2 linked regions of the Tamandua tetradactyla genome follow. The protein of the gene in region 1 purifies or fractionates together with the protein of each later gene. This does not show direct contact. Links are inferred from orthologs where the notes say so. Each region holds a gene or a part of one and is shown in the gene's direction. Other genes may lie near its edges.

The links.
Region 2: the proteins of VAPB (region 1) and FAM83G purify together in Homo sapiens (affinity purification with mass spectrometry; 3 studies listed by BioGRID and IntAct, counting the BioPlex papers as one, with this or other methods). This does not show direct contact. The link is inferred for Tamandua tetradactyla from reciprocal best matches to the Homo sapiens genes VAPB and FAM83G.

The regions. Positions count from the first base shown.
Region 1 is NC_135327.1:27,002,418-27,013,068, reverse strand, and holds the start of VAPB (vesicle-associated membrane protein-associated protein B/C), read left to right. Parts: upstream 1-6,302; 5' UTR 6,303-9,103; coding exon 9,104-9,257; intron 9,258-10,651. UniProt on the Homo sapiens protein: Endoplasmic reticulum (ER)-anchored protein that mediates the formation of contact sites between the ER and endosomes via interaction with FFAT motif-containing proteins such as STARD3 or WDR44.
Region 2 is NC_135332.1:2,152,041-2,159,326, reverse strand, and holds the start of FAM83G (protein FAM83G), read left to right. Parts: upstream 1-4,286; 5' UTR 4,287-4,358; intron 4,359-5,040; 5' UTR 5,041-5,158; coding exon 5,159-5,686; intron 5,687-7,286. UniProt on the Homo sapiens protein: Substrate for type I BMP receptor kinase involved in regulation of some target genes of the BMP signaling pathway. Also regulates the expression of several non-BMP target genes, suggesting a role in other signaling pathways.

The DNA.
Region 1 (10,651 bases):
AACGCTGCTATAAACATTGGTGTGCAAATGTCCGTTTGTGTCTTTGCCCTTAAGTCCTTTGAGTAGATACCTAGCAAAGGTATCTACTCAAAGATACCTTTGCTGGGTCGTATGGCAATTCTATATTCAGCTTTTTGAGGAACCGCCAAACTGCCTTCCACAGTGGTTGCACCATTTGACATTCCCACCAACAGTGGATAAGTGTGCCTCTTTCTCCGCATCCTCTCCAGCACTTGTCATTTTCTGTTTTGTTGATAATGGCCATTCTGGTGGGTGTGAGGTGATAATCTCATTGTGGTTTTGATTTGCATTTCTCTAATGGCCAGGGACATTGAGCATCTCTTCATGTGCCTCTTGGCCATCCGTATTTCCTCTTCTGGTAGGTGTCTGTTTAAGTCTTTTTCCCATTTTGTAATTGGGTTGGCTGTCTTTTTGTTGTTGAGTTGAACAATCTCTTTATAAATTCTGGATACTAGACCTTTATCTGATATGTCATTTCCAAATATTATCTCCCATTGTGTAGGCTGTCTTTCTGCTTTCTTGATGAAGTTCTTTGATGCACAAAAGTGTTTAATTTTGAGGAGCTCCCATTTATTTATTTCTTTCTTCAGTGCTCTTGCTTTAGGTTTAAGGTCCATAAAACTGCCTCCAGTTGTAAGATTCATAAGATATCTCCCTACATTTTCCTCTAACTGTTTTATGGTCTTAGACCTAATATTTAGATCTTTGATCCATTTTGAGTTAACTTTTGTATAGGGTGTGAGATACGGGTCTTCTTTCATTCTTTTACAAATGGATATCCAGTTCTCTAGGCACCATTTATTGAAGAGACTGTTCTGTCCCAGGTGAGTTGGCTTGACTGCCTTATCAAAGATCAAATGTCCATAGATGAGAGGGTCTATATCTGAGCACTCTATTCGATTCCATTGGTCGATATATCTATCTTTATGCCAATACCATGCTGTTTTGACCACTGTGGCTTCATAATATGCCTTAAAGTCCGGCATCGCGAGACCTCCAGCTTCGTTTTTTTTCCTCAATGTTTTTGGCAATTCGGGGCAACCTGCCCTTCCAGATAAATTTGCTAATTGGTTTTAATAATTCTGAAAAATAAGTTGTTGGGATTTTGATTGGTATTACGTTGAATCTGTAGATCAGTTTAGGTAGGATTGACATCTTAATTATATTTAATCTTCCAATCCATGAACATGGTATGCCCTTCCATCTATTTAGGTCTTCTGTGATTTCTTTTAGCAGTTTTTTTGTAGTTTTCTTTATATAGGTTTTTTATCTCTTTGGTTAAATTTATTCCTAGGTATTTTATTCTTTTAGTTGCGATTGTAAATGGGATTCGTTTCTTGATTTCCCCCTCAGCTTGTTCATTACTAGTGTATAGAAAAGCTACAGATTGTTGAATGTTGATCTTGTAGCCTGCTACTTTGCTGTACTCATTTATTAGCTCTAGTAATTTTGTTGTGGATTTTTCCTGGTTTTCTACGTATAGTATCATATCGTCTGCAAATAGTGATAGTTTTACTTCTTCCTTTCCAATTTTGATGCCTTGTATTTCTTTTTCTTGTCTAATTGCTTTGGCTAGAACTTCCAACACAATGTTGAATAATAGTGGTGATAGTGGACATCCTTGTCTTGTTCCTGATCTTAGGGGGAAAGTTTTCAATTTTTCCCCATTGAGGATGATATTAGCTGTGGGTTTTTCATATATTCCCTCTATCATTTTAAGGAAGTTCCCTTGTATTCCTATATTTTGAAGTGTTTTCAACAGGAAAGGATGTTGAATCTTGTCAAATGCCTTCTCTGCATCAATTGAGATGATCATGTGATTTTTCTGCTTTGATTTGTTGATGTGGTGTATTACATTAATTGATTTTCTTATGTTGAACCATCCTTGCATACCTGGGATGAATCCTACTTGGTAATGATGTATAATTCTTTTAATGTGTTGTTGGATACGATTTGCTAGAATTTTATTGAGGATTTTTGCATCTATATTCATTAGAGAGATTGGTCTGTAGTTTTCTTTTTTTGTAATATCTTTTCCTGGTTTTGGTACGAGGGTGATGTTGGCTTCATAGAATGAATTAGGTAGTTTTCCCTCCACTTCGATTATTTTGAAGAGTTTGAGGAGAGTTGGTACTAATTCTTTCTGGAATGTTTGATAGAATTCACATGTGAAGCCGTCTGGTCCTGGACTTTTCTTTTTAGGGAGCTTTTGAATGACTAATTCAATCTCTTTACTTGTGATTGGTTTGTTGAGGTCATCTATTTCTTCTTGAGTCAAAGTTGGTTGTTCATGTCTTTCCAGGAACCCGTCCATTTCATCTAAATTGTTGTATTTATTAGCGTAAAGTTGTTCATAGTATCCTGTTATTACCTCCTTTATTTCTGTGAGGTGAATAGTTATGTCTCCTCTTCCATTTCTGATCTTATTTATTTGCTTCCCCTCTCTTCTTCTTTTTGTCAATCTTGCTAAGGGCCCATCAGTCTTATTGATTTTCTCATAGAACCAACTTCTGGTCTTATTGATTTTCTCTATTGTTTTCATGTTCTCAATTTCATTTATTTCTGTTCTAATCTTTGTTATTTCATTCCTTTTGCTTGCTTTGGGATTAGTTTGCTGTTCTTTCTCCAGTTCTTCCAAGTGGACAGGTAATTCCTGCATTTTTGCCTTTTCTTCTTTTCTGATAAAGGCATTTAGGGCAATAAATTTCCCTATTAGCACTGCCTTTGCTGCGTCCCATAAGTTTTGATATGTTGTGTTTTCATTTTCATTCGCCTCTAGGTATTTACTAATTTCTCTTGCAATTTCTTCTTTGACCCACTCGTTGTTTAAGAGTGTGTTGTTGAGCCTCCATGTATTTGTGAATTTTCTGGCACTCCGCCTATTATTGATTTCCAACTTCATTCCTTTATGATCCGAGAAAGTGTTGTGTATGATTTCAATCTTTTTAAATTTGTTAAGACTTGCTTTGTGACCCAGCACATGGTCTATCTTTGAGAATGATCCATGAGCACTTGAAAAAAAGGTGTATCCTGCTGTTGTGGGATGTAATGTCCTATAAATGTCTGTTAAGTCTAGCTCATTTATAGTAATATTCAGATTCTCTATTTCTTTATTGATCCTCTGTCTAGATGTTCTGTCCATTGATGAGAGTGGTGAATTGAAGTCTCCAACTATTATGGTATATGTGTCTATTTCCCTTTTCAGTGTTTGCAGTGTATTCCTCACGTATTTTGGGGCATTCTGGTTCGGTGCGTAAATATTTATGATTGTTATGTCTTCTTGTTTAATTGTTCCTTTTATTAGTATAAGTGTCCTTCTTTGTCTCTTTTAACTGTTTTACATTTGAAGTCTAATTTGTTGGATATTAGTATAGCTACTCCTGCTCTTTTCTGGTTGTTATTTGCATGAAATATCTTTTCCCAACCTTTCACTTTCAGCCTATATTTATCTTTGGGTCTAAGATGTGTTTCCTGTAGACAGCATATAGAAGGATCCTGTTTTTTTAATCCATTCTGCCAGTCTATGTCTTTTGATTGGGGAATTCAGTCCATTAACATTTAGAGTTATTACTGTTTGGATAATATTTTCCTCTACCATTTTGCCTTTTGTATTATATATATCATATCTGACTTTCCTTCTTTCTACACTCTTCTCCATGTCTCTCTCTTCTGTCTTTTTGTATCTGACTCTAGTGCTCCCTTTAGTATTTCTTGCAGAGCTGGTCTCTTGGTCACAAATTCTCTCAGTGACTTTTTGTCTGAGAATGTTTTAATTTCTCCCTCAGTTTTGAAGGACAATTTTGCTGGATATAGGAGTCTTGGTTGGCAGTTTTTCTCTTTTAGTAACTTAAATATATCATCCCACTGTCTTCTAGCTTCCATGGTTTCTGCTGAGAAATCTACACATAGTCTTATTGGGTTTCCCTTGTATGTGATGGATTGCTTCTCTCTCGCTGCTTTCAAGATCCTCTCTTTCTCTTTGACCTCTGACATTCTAACTAGTAAGTGTCTTGGGGAACGCCTATTTGGGTCTAATCTCTTTGGGGTGTGCTGCACTTCTTGGATCTGTAATTTTAGGTCTTTCATAAGAGTTGGAAAATTTTCAGTGATAATTTCTTCCATTAGTTTTTCTCCTCCTTTTCCCTTCTCTTCTCCTTCTGGGACACCCACAACACGTATATTTGTGCGATTCACATTGTCCTTGAGTTTCCTGATACCCTGTTCAAATTTTTCCATTCTTTTCCGGATAATTTCTGTTTCTTTTTGGAATTCAGATGTTCCATCCTCCAAATCACTAATTCTATCTTCTGTCTCTTTAAATCTATCATTGTAGGTATCCATTGTTTTTTCCATGTTTTCTACTTTATCCTTCACTTCCATAAGCTCTGTGATTTGTTTTTTCAGTTTTTCTGTTTCTTCTTTTTGATCAGCCCATGTCTTCTTCATGTCCTCCCTCAATTTATCGATTTCGTTTTTGAAGAGGTTTTCCATTTCTGTTCGTATATTCAGCATCAGTTGTTTCAGCTCCTGTATCATTTGAACTATTGGTTTGTTCCTTTGACTGGGCCATATTTTCAATTTTCTGAGCGTGATCCGTTATCTTCTGCTGGCGTCTGGACATTTAGTCAGATTTCCCTGGGTGTTGGACCCCACAGGTTGAAAGATTTTTCTGTGAAATCTCTGGGTTCTGTTTTTCTTATCCTGCCCAGTAGGTGGCGCTCGTGGCACACGTTTGTCTACGGGTTCCACCAGCGAAAGTTGCTGTGGGTCCTTTAACTCTGAAAGACTCTCGCCGTAGGGGAGGTTCAGCAGCCGAAGCGTCTTGGAAGAGTGCCAGCCGGCCCGGGGGTCCGAACGCAGGGAGGGTCGCCGGCCGCTGCAGCACGGGAGAGCGCCCGACCGAATTTCCTAGTCGGCCCGGGGTGCCAAGCGTGGTGGGAGGGTGCCAGCTGTTGCAGCCCGGGAGAGTGCACTGTTCCCAGCCTGACCGGGGAGTCACGTGTTTTGAAGGGACCCCCCGGTCACTGTTCTCCGCAGTCTGGGGATTTCCGACCCAACTCTCTCAGTTGGTCCGGGGGGCCTTGCATGGTGCGGGCGCCAGCCGCCGTGGCCCAAGGGGACCGCCTGCCCAATTCTGCCAGCTGGCCTGGGAAGGAGGAAGGGAGGGACTCCAGCCGTTTGCCGTCCCGCCCGGGAAAGCCCGCGCCCCTCGGTGATCTCACTGGAGCTGGTTCTCCCAGACAGTCAGCCGTTCCAGGATGGGGTACGCCGTCCCTTTGATCTCCGTCGTGGCTCCGGGAGCTGCTCTGTATTGTCTCCACTCCCCCAGTAACTGTTCTGTTAGGTTGGGGGAACCGGGAAGGGCACTGCAACTGGAGCTGCGGAGGCTGTGTCGCCCCTCCCAACATGGCTCCTGGAACCCCAGATCCCACTTTTGACACCAAAACTGTTAAAAATATTAGATAAAATATTAATTATGGGAGTTTATTTGAGGTGTTTATCATTCATGAATTGGGCAGCATCAAAACCATATGTGTAAAGGAGCTCTACTGAGTGGTGAGAAGGGGGAACTTATATAGAACAAACACAAAAGTAAATGAAGAAATGTTCTGTTTGGCTGACATTAAGTTTCTATTTTAAATGGAAGATATACATTGACTCTGAAAGAAGTGACACAAACAGATATTAGCACACTGGATGTTCATAGCAGCACTATTTGCAATTGCTAAAAGATGGAAGCAGTCCCAGTGTCCATCAACAGACTAATGGATAAATAAAATGTGGAAATACATTTAATAGAGTTCTATGCAGCAATAAGATGAAATGAGGTCCCGAAGCATATGGCAACGTGGATGAACTTTGAGAACATTATCCTCAGTGAAATAAGCTAGACAAGAAAGGATAGAAACTATATAATCTTGATATTATGACTCTGGTAAAGATGACAATGTCAAGGCTCAGGCGAACTTTATGAGTTGCTTTGAATAATAGGCTAAGAAGTGGTCAGCTCCAACATGGAAAGTCAGTGCAGCTTCTCTGATATTTTACTCTAGTATGACCTGGGTGAAGAATTTGGGGACAGATGGGAAATGTGATGCTTAGCTGCCAACATTACTTTCTTCCTTCCCCCCTCCTCCTCTCCCTCCTTTCTCTCTTCTCCTTTCCTCTGTTTTTCTCTCTTTTAGTGTCTCTCTTTCTCATTCTCTTTTTCTTCGCTTTTTCCTTCCCTAAAAATAAAAATAATAAAAAGATATTATTAAAAAAAAAAAGATATGCATTGGCTAGTGTGGTATGCTTGTCCATTCTGATAAGCTATTTTACTAGACTGAAACTGGTCTATTACCAGGTATTGCTTATCTGCAGTTCTACAGATATATTCCATTGTTCCATTTTCTTAGATGCCCCTGGTGGGTCCATTGTTTTTGTTTCCAGAAAATCCTTTCTCAAAAAGGGGTTCCTCCCACCAATGCTGGTGACCATTTTATTTCACTTAATTTGCAGGTCTGCCACTGAGTCTTTGGAAAGTAGGGTGAAACTTCTGTGTGCTAGAGATTTCACAGATTTGCATTTTTGTAAAGTGGGAATTAAGGGTCCTTATTAAGTTAGGAACGTCTAAAAAAATTATCCTTTTTTTAAATAGAAATCTTAAACTTTATCGATTTCAATAAAAGAATAAAGAGAAAGCAGTAACTCAGACCATTTTGCAGCTGCATTCTACCAAAGTTTTAAAGTCTGTGTGCTTCTAATGCTGTTTAATATGGTCTAAAAGGTATAAGGGGAAGATTGCCAAATGCATTTTTTTCCTCCTTCTTAAAGGAATTGTCTGTTTTTCTTTTTTCTTTAACAGTTTTATTCACACATCAAACAATCCATCCTAAGTGTACAATCAATGACTGTAGGTATAATCACATAGTTAATGCATTCACTACCACAGTTAGTATGAAAATATTCTTCTTTCTTCTAGGAAAAAATATCCCATACCCCTTACACACCCCTATTATTTCATACTAAATTTATTTTAACATTTGTTCCCCCGTTATTTATTTTTATTCCATATGTTCTACTCGTCTGTTGACAAGGTAGATAAAAGGAGCATCAGATACAAGGTTCACACCCCTATTATCGATGTTTAGCTTTAGTATAGTGCCTTTGTTACAGTTAATGAAAGCATATTACAGTGTTACTGTTAACTATAATCTTCAGTTTGCATTAATTTATTTTTTTCCATATACCACACTGTTATTAACATCTTGTATTAGTGAGGTACATTTGTTCTGGTTCATGTAAAAACTTTCTTAAATTTGTGCAATTAACCACAATCATTGTGTGCTGTAGATTTCACTATGTTATAAATTCTAAACTTTATCCTTCAGCTTTCCTTCTGGTGACATACATGACCCTAGTCTTCCCTTTTCAACCATACTCATGCTCAGCCTTGTTAATTACACTCACAGTAGTGTTCTGCCATCACATGGTATTGTGCTATCCATTTCCAAATATGTATAATTCACCTTTAAAATAAATTACCTTTTAGGTGCCACTTAAACTTTACAAGTGGGGCTATATAGTCTTTAGTCCTACATGCTCCTGTTAGGCCACTATTTGGGCAAAGAAGCAAGAAGGAGTGAGCTAATATATATAATAGAGACTTTCCTAGAGTATAGAAAGAGGTAAACTTAAGGTGAATAACAAAAAGTGCTCTTTTATTTTATATGACACGTACTTTGGGAACTCATCATTCCTCAAAATGATCACAGCCCAAGCATTTGGACAGGATTAGATTGAATCTAGAGACATCATGAATATAATTATCACATACATGATAGATTATTATCCACAATTGGGGATATTTTGGATTTCTTCCTTTTCCACAGCTCATCCCTTGAGATTTTCTCTCTGGACAGTGTGCTGGTTTGGAAGGATTTATGTACCTTAGAAAAGCCATGTTTTAATCCCAGTCAGTCTTGTGGGAGCAACGGTTTCTTCTAATCCCTAGATGTATATCACATTCCAACAGCTAGCAAACTAGAACAGACAGTTTCCTAGCTGGTAGGATATAATACAACTCTGATTCAAATTGGTTCCATAACCCCACATTGGAATCTTCCTATAGGTCAGGCACTGGGTAAGATTGGGGCTAGGGAGGAAGTCCTGGCCCTTAAGGTTTCCACCCTCTCGGTGGTGAGGGAAAGGGAGAATTTGAGGAAGGAACACACATGGCAGTTCCTCATTGGGAGTTTAGAAAAAACTGTATTAATTCTACTTGGGGGTTGTATTTCACAGGGAAGGTGACATTTGAGATATGTGACTTGGCATGCTTACTGTGTATTAGATATTTTCCTGAGTGTTCATTTATTTAATTCTTACAACAAATGAGTAGGTAGAGCCTAGAGCCTAAGGTATTGTTATGATACTTGGGTTCATGACTCAGGTTGGAACTAGGATTTGAACCAAGATCTGTTTGACTGCAAAGGCCATGTTCTTTATCAGTTTGCTTGCTATGTTTCAGTTTCAATTTACTTGCTATATTTCAACTTTTCAAGGTTTAGTGGACAAGGAAGGCCTTTGGTTTTCTTATTATGTTGTTAGGAAGATGAAAGGAGGACTGGAAACAGAATCATGGGAATACAGAAAGTGTATTAAAAAGAAAAAGATTAAAAAAAAAACCAACGTGCTTTATTGTAATCTAGTAATTGTCTCATGCGGCACACTTCTGTCAAGTGCGGAGTTGCCCTGGGGCATTAGAGCAACTGGCTGACTGGTAAAAGAAGTCTTTCTACCAGTTCTGTCCTTTCCTTTAAGAACTTATATTCTATTTTGATCACTTCTCATTGTGAGTTTGTTTTGAAAATTATATGCTAATGTTATCCCTGTATGTTCTCTTTTACCACCCCAGTCCCTGCTTTCTGAGTCCTTTATTTCCTTGATGTCTGTCATCACAAACAATATGTTTCTGAGTTAATTGGGTACCATTTCAGCCTTTTAGTTATATCATTTAACATTTATAGTATAGTAGGAAAAGAAAAGGAAAGGAGTGATACCTACCTGAGAAGTTGGTATTATCATCATCTCCCTTTTAGGGATGAGAGAGCCAAGGCCCAGGACTTGGCAGAATCTGAATTTGCACCTCAAGATCTTTGAGCCTGCAAAGCTTGTACACTTTGCATTACAAAGAGAGGCTTGGATGCCCCAGGCTGGAGAAGCACTCAGCTTCCTGAGCTTTTCCTCCTCTCAAGGTGAGTAGGCTTGAACTCTATACCTCTTAACTCCTTTCAGCTCTAGCCTTGTGAACATGAGACTAAAACCTTTTTTAGCTGAAAAAGAAAGATGGAAAGCCCCACTGAGGGTGGATTCCAGGGTTTGTATTTTCCACAGCATTTACCAGTGCTTTGACCTAGTGGTTTCCCAAATATTTAATTAATGAATCCTCTTGTTCTGTTTAAAACCTCACTACTTCTACTCAACTTTCTTGGGTATTATTGAAGGTATTTTGACATTACCTCAAATTGTACATCACTTGCATGTTTTGTTTCATCTTTCAGTTATTCTTTGGGTACCTCGTTTAACTCATTGCTTTGTCTTCCCTGTTAGAATGTAAGCAGCAAAGGTTTTTGTTTCTTGAGTATTTCTTAGTAGTGGCTGGTGCAAAGTATTCTTTTCTTACTATTGTTTTATTCTGGTATTCCAGAGAATGTAAACAGCCCTAGACTTGATCATCTTTCATGTTTAGTATGATCATTTGAAATAGATGCACACACAAGAATAAAAAAGAGGAAACCAAAGGTTTGTCCTTGTGGAGACTTATTTGAATTCTCATTCTGTTGGTTGAATTGATTTGTTGGCATATGAATGTATCCTGATGGACTGACTGCCTAGAAAATCTAAATTGGTCTGTTTTGACCTTTTTAAAGTCAGGCACTGCTTTACTAATTGGATGAAAGAAAGCCATAGATCACTCCTTAGAGAATCTATAGACGTGCACAGTCAAAAATTCTCATGAAATTTGGGAGCAGGGGAATCCCATTTTATCATGGTTGCCTAGTTAACCTCTAATCTAGCTAAGGGATTGGCAGAGGTGGAAGAAACATGAAAGGTCTTTTGGAGAGTTCCAGAGAAAACTTGGTCATTTCATTTATTATTATTATTTTTTAATGAATTCTTTGTTGTCATTCCCTTTTAATGTAAATAGTTTCTTTTTCTTTCTTTATATACCTCGCATTGAACACCATGCTTGATAATTAGTCATCTTCACTAAACATCTTAAGTGCTGTCTCTTCAACCTTTAAAAAAGAAAAATTGCTCTGTTTTCTCCAGCCTTCCCTTTTTGTCTTGATAGCTTCTGGAAAGAGTAGTCTTAATCTCAAATTTCTCACCATCCATTCACTCCTAAAATCATTGCTCAGGAGCTTAAATATTGCTTCATCACTACATCTGTTGTTACATGTTTTTCACCATAGTGTGCTTTCTGTAGCATTTGCCACCCATCACCATTCCTGCTTCTTGACACACTTCCCTTGACCTCCTTAATCATTCTTTTCGGGTTTTCCTCCACACACATTTGGCCATTTTTGCTCACTCCTCATGGAGTCCTCTTGGACTCAGGGTTACAGGTTCTTCTTCTCTCCCTCTT
Region 2 (7,286 bases), on another chromosome or scaffold:
CTGGGATGAGGTGGGGGAAACTTTCCAGGGCATTCAAGGCCCTTGACACCTGGTCCAGCCCCTCACATCCTGGCCCCAGGCTCCAGCCACCCTGACCTGCTTGCATTTTCTCACGCCTGCCCGCCCAGCACTCTGCCGCCTCCCCACCCCCACCCCCACCCCCCATCCCGCTGGGCCAGCCTGCCTAATGCCCACCTCCACCCTTGTTTATGGCAGAAGTCCAGGCCCAGTCGCAAAGGGCTTGTCCTCTGAGGACCTCTGCTCCCCCCACCCCAAGCACGGCAGCTTCCTTCCTTGCGCTCCAGCAGAGCATGGCCAGGGCTGAATCAGGGTTGTTTGTTTACATTCTTCACCTCCCCCACCACCCCACGAGCTCCCCAGGAGCAGACACTCAGTTTGAATCATCGTGAGTCCCTGGTATCGCCCAGCCCAGGGCTGGGCCCAGCGGAGACACTGGGGAACATTTATTGAATGAATGAGTGAGTAAGTGAGTGAATGGAGGGGAGGATGGAGAGGAGGAGAGAGAGAAAGGAACCTAGAGAGAGCCAGGAAGGAGTTCAGGTACCGTTTGATCCAGCTGCCTGACACTACTAAATCCACCCTGCCAGTTCTGTAAGTGGGGGATTCTGGGCCAAAAGGGGCACAACTTGCCCAGGTCACACAGGCATCTGAGGCCACTGGGCCCTCCTGATGGGCGCTGAGCTAGACAGGCTGACTCTGGCCCTGGGAGGGACAGGTGAGGCATCGCAGCCACATAATGGCTCAGAAAACCCGAGTCAGTAGATTCTTCCCAAGTTTATTCAGCCTTTTCCTGACTCCTGGCACTGGGCACCGCCCCCTGGGCACTGCCAGCTCATGTTCATGCCGCAGGGAAAGAAAGGACCTCCTCCTTCACAGAGGCTGCGGGTCCTGCTGCCATTTCAACAAAATTCCCTGGGTTTGCCAGCTCAGCCGTGAGCACCCACAGGCCATAATGACTGGGGAGCTGGGGAGGGTCTTCTGGGCGTGCAGGCCTGGGGGCTCTCCCATGGGGCTCTGGTTCTGCATCCAACCCCACCCGGTCAGGGCCCCCACCAGCAGCCAGGGAGCTGCCCCTTCCTTGCCCATGTCCTCCATCCCCACTGCCAGAACCCAAGGTCAGCCACTGCACTCGGTCCCGGGGGCCTCCGTGCCAGCTCCTTGCAGCTTTCTGTTGCCCACCAGGAGCCTTCGACTCAGCTGCAGGAATTCTAAAACCACCAGCTCACAACCCTTCTGGGGCTCTCCCTCCCCTGCAGATGGCACTGAAGTCTCTCCGCATGCATTCAAATCCCTGCACCCTCGCCAGCACCCTCACCCTGCCACCTCCACCACCACCTCTGGGCGTCTGTGTTTGCTGGTTCCACTCCCAGAACACCGTTCCAGCCTGCAAACCCAGGGCATGTATGCTCATTCTCCTCCTCTCACGGGGCGAGTCTGAGCTCCCAGGGCCTCAGAGCAACATTGACCCGGCACCCATAGCTCTTGCCCCATGTCTGTCCTGTCTCCCCCACCACAACGACTCTGGGGTCTTGGACACAGCCAACCTCCGTCAGCATTTGTTGACTGACTGAATGATCTTCTCCCAAGGAGGCCCAGGGTGGGCCGTGGGGAGGGTGGTGGGCTGCCTGCCCTCCTCTCCCCCAACAAGTCGGCCCATCCCCGAGGCCGCTGGGGCCAGGCCAAAGGCTCCAGCAGACCTGGGTTTGAGGCCGGCTCTCCCCTCCAGAGCTGTGTGATCCGACTGATTCTCTAAACTCTCCGAGGCTGGTCCCTCCCGTGTAAAAATCCTCTGTGGACACCCGTAGGCCACACATGCAGAAAAAGAAAAAATTACCCTCGTCATAAATTTCACACCTTATATAAAAATTAACTCAAAATGGAGCGGGTCAATTTTTTTTCTTTTAGAATAAGAAAAACATGCAGAAAAAATCTTCAGATGGACGGCTAGACAAAGAGTTCTTAGAATTAACACCAAAAGCATGATCCTTAAATAAAAGTTGATAAATTGGACCTCATCAAAATTAAAAACTTTTTTTTAGCTCTGCATGAGGCCTTGCGCGGAGGGTGAAAAGCCAAACTAACTGCCTGGAGAAAATCTCTTCATACCACAGACCCGGCAAGGGCCATCTCTCTAAAATATATAAAGAATTCTCAATACTCAACTCTAAAAAACCCCAAACAATCCAGTTAAAAAATGGACACAAGACACGAACAGACATTTCACCAAAGAGGCATGGTGTCATGTCATACACATGACAAATAAACACATGAAATAAACATGCAGCATCATTAGCCACAAGGACAATGAAAATTAAAACCACAATGAGACGTCACTCTGCACCTATCAAAATAGCTAGAATTAAAAATAGGGATAACACCCAATGCTGGTGAGGATGTGGAGAAATTGGATGATGCGAACATTGCTGGGGGGAACGTAAAATGATATAGCCACCCTAGAGAGCAGTTTCGCAGTTTCTTTAAACAAAACAAAGCAAAACAACACAGGCAGTTATCGGATGACCCAGCACTCACACATTTGGGCGTTTGTCCCAGAGAAAACCTGTACTGGAATGTTCACGGCACCTTTATATGTAATAGCCCCACGTGGGAAGAACTCAAATGTCCTTTGGCAGGCGAACAGTTAAAGAAACTGCAGTCTGTCAATCTTACCGCAGAATACTATGCAGCAATGAAAAGGAAAGATCTAATAATGACAGACGCGACATCCAGGATGAATCTTCTGTGGATGGGGTAAAAAAAAAAAAAGCCAATCCCCAAAGTTTCCATACTTATGATTGCATTTATATAACACTCTGGAAATAACAAAATTATAGAGAGGGAGGGAAAATTAGTGGTTGTCAGGAATTAGGGCTGTGGGCAGGCAGAGGGAGAGACGGGGGGATGGCTCTAAAGGGGCACGAGGGAGATTTTTGTGGTAGAGGAACAACTCCATGTCTGGGCTGTGATGATAATTACACAAATCTACAAATGTGATAAAATGGCTTCAAACTCCACAAACGCACACACGCAAATGAGTGCCTGGGAGATGGGTGGCATCTGAATAAGGTCTGTGGGTTGTGCCAAGGTCATTTTCCTGGCTTGATGTTGCATCTAGTTATGTAAGCTGTGACCGCTGGGGAGCTGGATGGAGGGGTCAGGGACCCCTCTGCTCATTTTCTGAGAACTTCCTGTTAATCTCTCCCTATGCACAGGTTATTGCCGAGTGCAGAGATAGCGAGCAACCCCTGGGGCCTGGGAGGGGGCCGAGTGGCAGGGAAGACTTGAGACTGGAGGTCAGGGAGGGGGACCCAGGGGCACTGGGGCAGGAGAGGTTGCAGGTGCTGGGTCCAGGGGTGCTGGGGCAGGAGAGTGTGCAGGAGGAGAAGCCTGACAGTGGATGGCAGGGAGGGTCCGACTCCAGTTCAAACCTGGGGTGCGGTGCTCTCAGGTTGGAGTCCTAGGGACACACCAGAGGACTGCTGGACCTGGGACCAGGTCTCCCACCCTCACCGAACAGGCCCCCATCCCCTCCCTTGATCCAAGAGGCCTGAGCCCTGCTTGGATACAAGGCACCTGGGGTGGGGGTGGGGGGCGGCTGCCCCGGCGCCTGGCTGACTGGCTGTGGCATGCAACGAACCTGGTGGCCAGGTTTAATGGGCTTTGCGTCCCCACCCTGGCAGCCTGCCTTCAAATGTGCCCCCGCCCCCATAACCAGGGTCCCCAAGCCCTGGGGACGCCTGCGGAGAGGCGGGCCTCACCCAACCCACCACAGCCTGTGCCCCGCCCCCCTCGGGGTTGGGGAGGGTCCCTGGTGACGCCTTCCCCGAGGGCTCAGGCCTCAGAACTGGTACCTGCTCTATCCTACAGCTAAAGCTCCCCCCACACACCCTCCTGGTTGGTTAGCCAGACCTTGCATTACTCTTGCCTTGGGGCTCCCAAGGCAGACACAGCCCCCACAGCCTTCCCGTCCCACTTGCAAGGCCTGGGGACAGAGCAGGGACTCCAAGGCCGTCGACTCGCTGTGTGACCTCAGGGAGCGCACTGACCCTCTCTGGGTCGCAGTGTTCCGAGGAGCTCCTGCCCTTGGACCCCCGAGCTCCGTGGGCTGCCCGCACCGGGGGTGGGTGGGGCAGCTAAGAGAAGGTGTGCACACCCGCCCAACGTCTGCCGGTGAATCAGCTTCCGGCCCCGCCTCCCGGAGGCATGTGACCGCAGGTGGCCGCCGGCGGGATGGGCGGAGCGACAGTGGCCCGGGCCCGCCCCCCGCCACCGCCTCCGCGCCCAGCCGCCGCGCGGTACCCCTCCAGTCTGCTCTGTGCCCGCGCCAGCTCCTGCCGGTAAGTGAACCCCGCCCGCGACCCCCGGGGACCCCCCGCCAGGCGCTGCCGCCGGCCAGCCGCCCTTCCGGGGCTCCCAGACCCGTCCCCCGGCCCCGGACCCCTCCAGGAAGGCCCTACGGCTCTCCGATGCCTAGCACCCTGGGATCTCGAGATCCTTTCCCAGGAGCGCCCAGAAATGCGGAGCCCGCTGGGCCAGGCCAGAGACCCCAGAGTTCAGGCTCTTGCTCCCCAAATCCTGGAAACTTTGGGAAGTCCCGAGCCTGCCCTCATTTCCCTTGGAAGTTGCCTGAGACTTCGGGGAGCTCCGGAAATCCCCTGGCACCCCAAAACCCAGGCACACGGGTCCCCTCGCGCCGGCCTCGGACCCCCACTCTCACCCTCTACACACACACACACACACACACACACACACAGTCCCCATCTCGGACCCCCACTCTCACCCTCTACACACACACACACACACACACACACACACACACACACAGTCCCCATCTCGGACCCCCACTCTCACCCTCTACACACACACACACACACACACACACACACACACACACACAGTCCCCATCTCTGCCCAGCCCCTCCCACCCCCCCACGCCAGCCCGCCCCCACCCCCCCAGCCCCCGACCCGCCCCGGCGCGCCCCGCCCCCGGCCCCTGCCCTCACCGGGTCTTCCCCGCAGGTTTCTATGGACAGAGGCGCAGAGGCAGCCGGGCGGCCCCAGAGCGCGCCGTGCGCCCCCGCCGGGGCCCGGAATTAGGCTCCCGCCCCGCCGGGCTCGGCTGCCCGCGGCCGGCACCATGGCCTTCTCCCAGGTGCAGTGCCTGGACGACGGCCACGTGAACTGGCGCTCGAGCGAGGCCAAGCCCGAGTTCTTCTACAGCGAGGGGCAGCGGCTGGCGCTGGAGGCCCTGGTGGCGCGCGGCCCCGACGCCTTCCGCGAGGTGCTGCAGCGGGAGAACATCCGCGACTTCCTCTCCGAGCCCGAGCTCCAGCGCATCCTGGACACCATCCAGGTGTACGACCCCGGCTCCGAGGACCCGCGCGCCGCTGGCCGCTGCGGGGGCCCCGAGGAGGGGGACGCGGGCGGCCATGCCGAGGGGGCCAGCGGGGCGGGCGGCGGGACCCTGACCGAGGCGGAGCCGCTGCCCTCCCTGGAGTACTGGCCCCAGAAGTCGGACCGCTCCATCCCTCAGCTGGACCTGGGCTGGCCTGACACCATCGCCTACCGGGGGGTGACCCGGGCCACGGTCTACATGCAGCCCCCCATCGACGGGCAGGCCCACATCAAGGAGGTGGTGAGAAAGATGATCAGCCAGGCCCAGAAGGTGAGGGGCCCTTGACAGGGGTCCTCCAGTGGGTGACAGAGGGCTTGATGGCTCTTTGTGCATTGTTGGGGGGCAGTACCAGGCTCCCTGGACCTGGCCAGCAGCTTCCCCAGACATGGGGTGACGGCGGGGTGGTGAACTTTCTCTCACTGGTTCTCCCCTGGGATGGCTCTGACCATCCCCTCCCACCCCCCACCCCCACCCCAGGAGGAGCAGGGCCCCCTGCTGTTGCCTCCATGGGGAGCCGGAGAGAGCATGGGCTAGGGGTAGTCACAGAGCTTGAGAGGAGGCTGAGTCCCTCTGAGGCTGGCCTGGAGGTCCTCATTCACAGCTGGCTCTTTCCTGGCTGCACTGGGCATCTGCAAGTGAGGTGCTCACCCTCTCTGAGCCTCCTGACAAGAACAGAGTCTCTGTGGGCTGGGAGAAGTGCAGGGAGTGTTGGGGAGGTGGAGTAAGTGCAGCTGAGTCTTGTTCACCTGAGTTGAATCTCACCATCGGAAGGGAACTCAAGCATTGTCTGAACCCCCTTCCTGGCCCCTGCAGGCTATGCAGGGGCCCCAGTGGGTGGCTGTACCCCACTCACACATATTTGCGATGCGAGGCAGCCCAGCCATTGCCACATCTGTAACCATGAGCAAGTGCTTCTTTCTCTGAGTAGAAGTGATTTTCCTTGGATGCAGAGCACTTCCTAATGCAGCTGACAGAGGCGCCTAGCAGGCTGTGTTCAGAAGGATTCTGAAGCCCAGTCTGAGTAGTGATTGATAAGCAGCGGGTGCCCTGGCCTCAGGCCGTGACGGAGGAGGTATTAACTCGCCAAGGCTACCCCCTTCACCTTCACTGGAAGGCTGGCTCTGGGCCACCCTGGCCGACACACAGACCTGAGTGAGCCCTTGGGCAGAGGCCACAAGTGGCTTAGGTTTCCAGGACAGCCCCAAGGCAGATAACCTTGTCAGGGAACCTGGCCCTTGGCCTGCCCCTCCCCCGACTCACCGGAGTCTCCAGGCAGTTGGGACCTTCGGTTTTACGGGTCTGTAAAACGGGTCTGTAAAACGGGAGTGGTGAGGATAGAAGCTGCCTCTTTGTGCTGTTGTGCCGGCAAGGAGGAGGGGGAGAAGGAGGGGGGAAGGGAGGCAGGGGCAGTGACCTTCGACCTTCGTGGGTCTCAGGTTGAATAATCCACCCCACTCGTGCCATGGGGTAGGAAGGCATCACTGACGCCTAAGCTCGCAGAACCCAGTCCCCTGGGAGAGCCTGTTGGGATCCCATAAAAATGGGGAAACTGGGGCCCTGGGGGACGGAGCCTGATCTGCTGCACCCCCCCAGGGATACCCCCCTCTCCACCTCTGTGCCCCACCAGATACCAGATTCCAGCACTGCCTGGGAACTGGCCAGAGGCATCTAATCTTCCCCAGACAGAAAAACAGGTGACCTGGCCCCGTGATGGGGCCTGATAAGGGTGCCCGGGGCCAGGCTGGGCACTCGAGGCTCCCTTGCTGACTCCCTGGCCTCCTCCCCACATCGCCTCGGCAGGAGCTAGGGCCCAGCAGCTCTGTGCAGTCCCAGGGGTCCCCTGTAGCTCCCCCCCAAAGTCCCACAGGTT